3 linked regions of the Kluyveromyces lactis genome follow. The protein of the gene in region 3 binds, or shares a complex with, the protein of the main gene of each other region. Links are inferred from orthologs where the notes say so. Each region holds a gene or a part of one and is shown on either strand. Other genes may lie near its edges.

Region 1 (2,639 bases), on a different chromosome or scaffold from region 3:
TCACCGGGTGGTATGCCCTACGATGCACCAGACGAAGAACTCAACGATCTTGATGTAAACGACGATGATGAGGACGACGACGAAGATGATTTCGATGCTGATACTGATGTTGGAACACATAGCGGCATTTCTCATCGTTCGAATGAATACTCCCTGCGTCGTACTTCCAGTAATGATAAGATCCCTTACGATCTCGCTGAGCAGAGTAGTAGAGCAATGGGAATGCCTGCTTTGCAAAGATCAAGCTCACATGATACAGATTAACAATGCAGCCTTATCCCCAAACACGAATCCTTATCAACACAAATTGATATATAATAAACATTTACTTTTCCTCTGTTTATCGTTAGTTCAAGTAGTAATAATATTAATAATAGTAATAGTAATAATAACATACGAGTAACACTAATTCAAATCTTAATTCTCATGTCATCAATACATACTGCAATTTGTTAATTTGGGTATTGTTGGATTTCTCTTCCTTTTCGTCTCAATGCATCACTTAATTTTATGAATCTGAAACCATGAATTCTTGTTATTGACAAAAACTGGTCTGTTTAGAACCGAACTGGATCTTAATAAATTGAACCCCGAAGTCCAAAGAGCCCACCAATACACTTTCACACCCAATGGCATCATCTAAGGCTTCTATCTTCTCCTTCCTTCCTCTTTACAACCTACTTTCTGCTTCTGCCTGGGCTTATGTCCTATATCAAGTCGTGACCCTTTACCCAAAGATCGGTCAACCAAGTTTCTTTATTGCTACCAAGGATTTAGTCACGTACGTTCAATGCGGTGCTATAATTGAAGTCACAAATTCTTTGTTTGGAATAGTCCGTGCTCCGCTAGTGACCACTGCTGCTCAAGTGGCCTCTCGACTCTTGGTAGTCATCGGTATCTTCCAGTATGTGCCGGAAGCAGAAAATGCGCATAAAATATATTACATCACGTTGTTGTCGGCATGGTGTATTGCTGAAATAGTGAGGTACATGTTCTACTTCTTCAACTTGGTGGCTCAAGCGCCTACTGTACTTGTTGTATTGAGATATAACATGTTTTACGTGCTATATCCATTGGGCGTCGGCAGCGAATTGTTCATAATTTATTCTGCATTGCCGTTGGCTGAAGCAAAATACAATATCTTGTACAAGTATTTCTTAATTGCAGGTATGCTAGCCTACATTCCAGGGTTCCCGGTGCTATTCTCACACATGGTTGCCCAAAGAAGGAAGGTCATGAGATCCTTGAACGGTGATAAACGCAAATCTGCATGAATTGTCACAGGATTAAAAGAATAGTTTGACTCATGTATAAAAGTTCTGTAACATTTGTAACATACCCGAATGAATGCACAAATGAAACGACGCTGTCCCTTGGCGTGGCCGTTGGCTCTTCCTTCTCATGACTGTGTGTGTGCCCTACTTTTCACGTCACGTCACGTGACTGACATCAACACTTAACTCTCGAAGGCTCAAAAAATTTTCTGTTGAAACAGTATACGACTAGTTGAACAACATTTAAGACAAGTGAGAAGAAGCAGATTGAAAGGGCTATTGCATCTGCCAATTGTCGTTCGAATCAGTGCAGAAACGATGTTCAAGAATATCAGTCATATGTTTGCCCTCCCAGTAAGGCAAATGGTGGGTTTCAGCCCATTTCTTCAACCTTTGAAGAGAAGTTTCATCAGAACAACACACTCGGTAGCAGAAAAAGCGAAGGTGAATTTAACGCCGTTGAAGTTATCCAATGAGCTATATGCCGTATTCAGAATACACAACAGACCATACTTGGTGACAGAAGGAGATAAGGTTATCTTACCGTTTAAACTGAAGCAAGCAGAGGTCGGCGATGTGCTAAATTTGACTGATGTGACTACCATTGGTTCTCGTAACTTCAAGCTCGTGGACGAACCTATTGATCCATCTCTATACACTATTAAGGCTACAGTTCTTGAGAAGACAAAACGCCCGCTTAGAGTGAGAGAAGTTACCAAGAGAAGAAACAGGAAAGTGCGTCATGCGGTCAATAAAGCCGATTTGACTATTCTGAGAATATCCGAGCTAAAAGTCAATTAATGAACTAACCCTCCTACAAAATCGTGTAAATAAAAGTTTAATATAATGTTAGGTCGTTATAGATCGATTAGAAATACTATACCATCTAGTAACTATGTTTTAGTGGCAGCATCTCATCGAATTTGTTAGAAACGTTTACCGTTTTAGAGAATAGATATAAATTCAAATAGAAACAATTGTAATTAATACCATTTTAATCGTTAATAAAGAGGGGAGAAAGACGATAAGAGAAGAGCTTAGTGCAACAATTACTGGGTATCGATACTTTAGTATCTGATAAGTAAAGTCCCGCTAAATATAGATGAACCGTGGATGATATGTCTTTCTTGAAGAAGAAGAGTAGCACTGCTGGACATTCAAGGTCAGGATCTGCCTCATCTATACTCAACAAACATGTTGATCCTGCCAATATCAGTGAGTTTTATCCATCGTCATTGGATCACAAGGTGACCAGTGGTTTGAAGAACGATTATAGTTTTGATTCCAGCAGCAAGGGATCCAGGAAGTCCTCTGGTGGGAGCACCAATTCGTTAACATCTGAGCGACTATTATTCAATTGGGATG
Region 2 (2,129 bases), on a different chromosome or scaffold from region 3:
AATAAATCAAGCTATGGAGGTACTTCTACCTGGGGTGGTAACCAGGGAGGTGTCTCTGCCTGGGGTGGCAGTGGTAATAAATCACAACGATCTAAAAACACCGGTGGAAGTTCCACTTGGGGTAACAATCAATCGCAGCATAACTCAGGAGAGAGATCCGCATGGGGCAATGCATCCCAACACAACAATAGCGGCAATAGATCTGCTTGGGGTAATCAGGATGCTAGAGGTGGTGGAAGTACGTGGGGTGGAAATAATTAGAAATAATCATACAAGTTATTGCCTCACGATAATTTACAAACCTATCAATTGTTCATCTTATTATCTCCAAATTACTCCACGCGATGTGGATGTTGTATATATAGTCTTGCCCAAATTAGTCTCAGAAACCAATTAAATAAGTGAATTAAGTAAATGTAATTTAGTTAAAAATTTCGTTTCTTTACTACAAACCGATACTACTATAGAACTCTTAAATCACGTCTATTTCAACGGTAGTTATTGCAGTGTGAGTGTTTTCTATATACATGCAAATGGTGTGGTTAAATTGTTAAATACAATTCATTAACGTCTTGCGGTACGTAAGAAGTCCAATGGTTTCCTCTCTGCAACCTTTCTTTTCTTGGCCTCTTTGAACAAAACATGACGTTTAGCTACAGGGTCGTACCTCACCTGCGTCACTAATGGTGCAGCTCTATTTATCGTGACATGACGGCTCACACCTGTCATAGCAGTTGATATCAGTTTGATAACTGTAGTCTTTGTCTTAGCCTTGGCCATCGTTTTCCTGTTCGTTTGCAGTTTATATATGATATCCTTAGCTCTGTGAAATTCCTTGAATTTGAATTTGAGACAGAGAAGTACGCAGGATAATATTACTTTCTGCCCTTAATACTTTCCGATGATACACCGTCCTATGCAGAAATTGATGAACTCCCACTACTTTCAGTATTGATTGGGTCGGATACATTGCTAAAGAAGAAGTAATGGATAATCAAAATTTTGTCAAATCACTACATACGTTTTGATGAATATGCAATATACATAAAAATGATCCGTACTTCATATCACGTGAAACAGATACATATTCACAAGTCAAGTTAAGTATTCGCATATAGTTACTCTACGCTTTTATCAACAAGAAGGTATTAACTGAATTGATTGGTGTACACAGTACGGTATAATTAAGGTAACTAATTAGTGCTGGAGCTTACGGATCTCTGTTACACCCGTGCAACACGATATACATTACTGATGAAAATTTTGAAAATTTTCCAAAGCTCATCGCATAGAGACAGAGGCAAAATCAGCGAAAGAGAAGAGAAAAAAATGGAAATTCAAATGAGTTCTAAGTTACCTGCTAAAATAAACGTAATGGTAAGGTGACCCTAGAAGGTGCATAGGGTTTCATCCAGCTGTTTGATAGAAGAAAGGAGTATACTGCGCCAAGTGTATCCGATTTACGTGTTTCAATAAAGAACTGAAACAAAAATTTGAGACTATCATCTGTGCGAAGTTTTTTTCTTCAAAGAGAATTAATTGATATCGATCAGATTATCTACAGACCCATAACTTGAAAGGAGGATATTTGACATACCTCAAATCAGAATTGGGCTTCTTAATTGTTGATAGTATAACACGCGTCTAGAAATTAAAGGAATTTTTTCTACAATCCTATTTTTTTAAGGAGATAATACAAAGATTCACAACATGTCAGCTATTCCTGAACCAAGAATCATCGAGAATGACGATGGTTCCAAAACCGTCATCAGTTTCAAAATCCAAGATGGTAAGAAGTACAAGGTTACGCAGAAGGTTAAGGAAATTACTGTCACCGAGAAAGTTAACAAGAACATCGCCTTGAGAAGAAATTGGAAGAAATATGGTGCTGATAAGGGAGCTGCCCCAGGACCAGATATTTCAACCACTCAATTAGGTGAAGAATTAGAGTTAGACTTGTCTCCTAACTGGAAGGAAATGGAAGAAGAAAAGGCAAAGGAGAAGGCTGCTAACTCGACTCAAAAGGTAATTACTTGTAGAATTTGTGGTGGTGCGCATTTCACCATGCATTGTCCGTACAAAGACACTTTGGGAAAGAAACCTACTACATCTGCTGGTTTAGACCCGGC
Region 3 (3,083 bases):
CTGTTGAATCCTTGAAGCAATAAGCAACAGGACTTATGAAATAAGGAGAGGTGTGTTTAATTCTTCTTTTTTCTCTTTTGTGTAACAAGGGAAAGGAACTTGTATGCATAACTCCGAGCTGAAGCATAATAGAAAAATAAAAGGTTGTATTCTCTGTTTGAATTCTGGTAGTCAACAAGAAATGATGACAACAAGAGTTATATCTGCTTTCCTCGACTAAGAACGAAAGACCTCACGAATCCTTTTTTTTGTTACGATTAGATTTACAGCCAATACAATAACATATGAAGAAGAAACAGCCAAAAAAAAAGAAGATTCTATATATAGCCTCTAGGAAAATATTCAATCAGAGGCAGTCCAAAAAAACAGACGCACATGAACGCACGCACCATACACCGTATTATTACTATATAATTTATTATGTTACCGGGAATAAATGTTAACTAATGATCATATTCTTAATAGATTCGAACAAGCTTTTTAGTTTTTTTTATGATTTGCGTATGTTGCATTGATTTTCTACATTGCATATTATTTACATGAGGTATGAGATATTATTCAGACCACCTGAGGTTGTTGAAAAGTGTGTAATCATATATATCGCGAGAGAGACGAGGAGGAAATAAACTCTTTCTGGAAACTTTCATTTTTTTTTTCATACAACAGATCTACGAACTCTATGGAACACTCTCCCTTCTGGTAATCCGTATTTCTCTCTAATGTTTGCCACGTTAGAATCCCATTCTGATCTCCAAACATGAGCACCAACCGGGTCCAAGTTGTGGGAACGAACAAATTCTCTAATATCGAAGTTTTCTCTATCGACTGGTTCAGGGGATTCCAAATCACCATTCTGTCTGAATACCCATACAGAGAACCTTTGCTTGCCAACATTTTTCTCAGGTACTGGAGGAATGTAATCTGCAAGAATCTGCGATTCATTGTATTTTCTTGGATCTACCACGTTGTCGTTATAGTCTATCTTTAAATTAGTCAAACCGAACGCCAAAGTCGTCTTGAATGTATCATTCAACACATCCGGTTCATCTGGATTCACAATTACCACAGTGTATTTTTGCTTTTCGAAGTCGATACCGTTCTCGTACTCTTGAATCTTAATTGTTGGAACCATCGAAGTCGTGTTGGAGGACAAAATTTCACCAGGTTCAACCCATTTGTTCACACCAGTACTGAATGGGAAACGTAAATTAACCTGTACTCTTGGTTGTAAAGTAGGTAACGTATCGGGGATTACACTCAAAGTCTCTAGTCTTTGCATTAACAACATTTTTTCGTAGGATTCCCAATGCTTCAGCCCCAAACGCCTGTACACTGGAACAGCATAATCTATCACTCTAGTATCGTTCTCTAACTTGTCATGATACTGAAAATTGTATTGGACCTCTGGGTTATGCAATTCAGCCTCTGTTTCTAACTTAGCACGTACCTTGGCATCAGTCTCATTTTCTAGTTGCGAATACTTCTCTTCAGCGCGCTTACTCATAAACTCATAACTCAAGCGGAACATCTCATCAATATGTTCAGGAGAGGTATACTTCAAACGGTTCATCCTCCGCTTCAAAGACGGTGGACCTCGTCTTCTAACGTCATCGCTGTCGCCTTGAAAGATGTATTTCTTAATCGATTCTGATGCTAAACCAAGCGACTTGGATCTCTTAGAAAAGTCCGACCATACCCCGGTTTTCTCTAAACATTTGGCACTGCTGTGCAACCCTCTACGCAACATTCTCCAATTCGAGTTGTTAGTCTCTGAAACACCCTCCAATGGGATCCTACAACTGATTATTCATGTATCTTCATTGTCCGTTCATACTTAAAACTCATCTGAATCGTTCGAAATCGATTTTTCACCAAAAAATTTTAATGTGTTTCAGTCCGGGTAACAGAAGATCGTGCCTCTCGCTCCAAGTGGAAGTTCAGAGATCAATAACTGGTAAGCTTTGCCTTTGAGACTGCCATTCGGTTTCATATGTTGCAAATGACGCTCTTCTGATCCAGCGAACCCATCATATCCATCTTTCTTTGTATATTTTCTTCTTCCCTTTCCTATATGCGGATTATAATGATCATTTATGTTTGAAACGACGAATCTTATATGAGAATGCTCATCGCGACATTGTTTCAGATCTGTAAAGACAAGATGCCTCAACTTTTTCCTGGTATAAAGACCCTTTGCCAATCAGCATTGTAGGTTTACTTCTCATTCCCTGTATTATCCTGTATAATATTCAAAAGCTTATTAAATCAAATATGAACGGTTCAGAACCGAATTCTACAGAGTTAAGGCACGATGTCGAGGCAGTTACCATACTAATATCTAAACTTCAAGTTTACTCGCAGTTTGATACACAAACTCCAACAGAGAGAGCTTTTCCCTCTATGTTCAGCTCCGATTCTGATATAAGCGACTCAATTGACTCTGATGTCGGAGATCAGCTAAAGAGACGGTCTTCTTCAATACTGCGCAAAATGTTTAATAGGTCAAAGAAACTACTGCCAAAACTACACAAGAGGTGAAACGTATGAGCAGTTGTGCTGCTGGATAATGGAGGAGCTTCTCTTTTCATACTACTCCGTCTTATATCAAAATTTCTACGCTCACTTCTGAGCTTTTCAGCAGGGAAGGTAGAAAAAAATTTTGACACATTGACGAAAACAGATTGATAACACTTAAGACCTTTGATAAAGCTTTGAATGACACCTACTCTTTGATTTCATATTGGATTTTTCACTATATAAGACAACTGGGGTGATATATCCAGAGAACCAATTAGGTATTGGAATAGTTTATACCTGATTCACTGAAAGATGGCTGACGTTAAGATTCAAACTCTACCAACCGACTTTAGGGCCAACCATTATGAGATTGAATTGAGTGAGTTAGATGCTGAGCACAATTCATTTATCGGATCCGTGCGTATTATTATGTCCACTGTTAATGCCAATGACATGATTTCATTGAATATGAGGGACATTGAGATCGTTTCTGCGGTGGTTGAACTGAAAGAGGGGTCTGTGTCTTTGGGAATGAAGGACCATAGTTTCGATTTAGAGAACGATGT

The links.
Region 1: MRPL35 (region 3) and MRPL49 share a complex: the UniProt entries of both Saccharomyces cerevisiae proteins name them as parts of the mitochondrial large ribosomal subunit. The link is inferred for Kluyveromyces lactis from reciprocal best matches to the Saccharomyces cerevisiae genes MRPL35 and MRPL49.
Region 2: MRPL35 (region 3) and MRPL39 share a complex: the UniProt entries of both Saccharomyces cerevisiae proteins name them as parts of the mitochondrial large ribosomal subunit. The link is inferred for Kluyveromyces lactis from reciprocal best matches to the Saccharomyces cerevisiae genes MRPL35 and MRPL39.

The regions. Positions count from the first base shown.
Region 1 is NC_006042.1:1,308,729-1,311,367, forward strand, and holds MRPL49 (mitochondrial 54S ribosomal protein bL21m), read left to right. Parts: upstream 1-1,592; coding exon 1,593-2,075; downstream 2,076-2,639. Other genes in the region: SAP185 (Sap185p), read left to right, coding at 1-264; enoyl-CoA hydratase PHS1, read left to right, coding at 630-1,274; mitogen-activated protein kinase kinase kinase BCK1, read left to right, coding at 2,393-2,639. UniProt on the Saccharomyces cerevisiae protein: Component of the mitochondrial ribosome (mitoribosome), a dedicated translation machinery responsible for the synthesis of mitochondrial genome-encoded proteins, including at least some of the essential transmembrane subunits of the mitochondrial respiratory chain.
Region 2 is NC_006038.1:66,374-68,502, reverse strand, and holds MRPL39 (mitochondrial 54S ribosomal protein bL33m), read right to left. Parts: upstream 781-2,129; coding exon 565-780; downstream 1-564. Other genes in the region: transcription elongation factor SPT5, read left to right, coding at 1-261; TIF35 (translation initiation factor eIF3 core subunit g), read left to right, coding at 1,711-2,129. UniProt on the Saccharomyces cerevisiae protein: Component of the mitochondrial ribosome (mitoribosome), a dedicated translation machinery responsible for the synthesis of mitochondrial genome-encoded proteins, including at least some of the essential transmembrane subunits of the mitochondrial respiratory chain.
Region 3 is NC_006040.1:1,119,609-1,122,691, reverse strand, and holds MRPL35 (mitochondrial 54S ribosomal protein mL38), read right to left. Parts: upstream 1,748-3,083; coding exon 656-1,747; downstream 1-655. Other genes in the region: TIM11 (F1F0 ATP synthase subunit e), read left to right, coding at 1-23; KLLA0_D13079g (uncharacterized protein), read left to right, coding at 2,272-2,538; KLLA0_D13068g (M1 family metallopeptidase), read left to right, coding at 2,830-3,083. UniProt on the Saccharomyces cerevisiae protein: Component of the mitochondrial ribosome (mitoribosome), a dedicated translation machinery responsible for the synthesis of mitochondrial genome-encoded proteins, including at least some of the essential transmembrane subunits of the mitochondrial respiratory chain.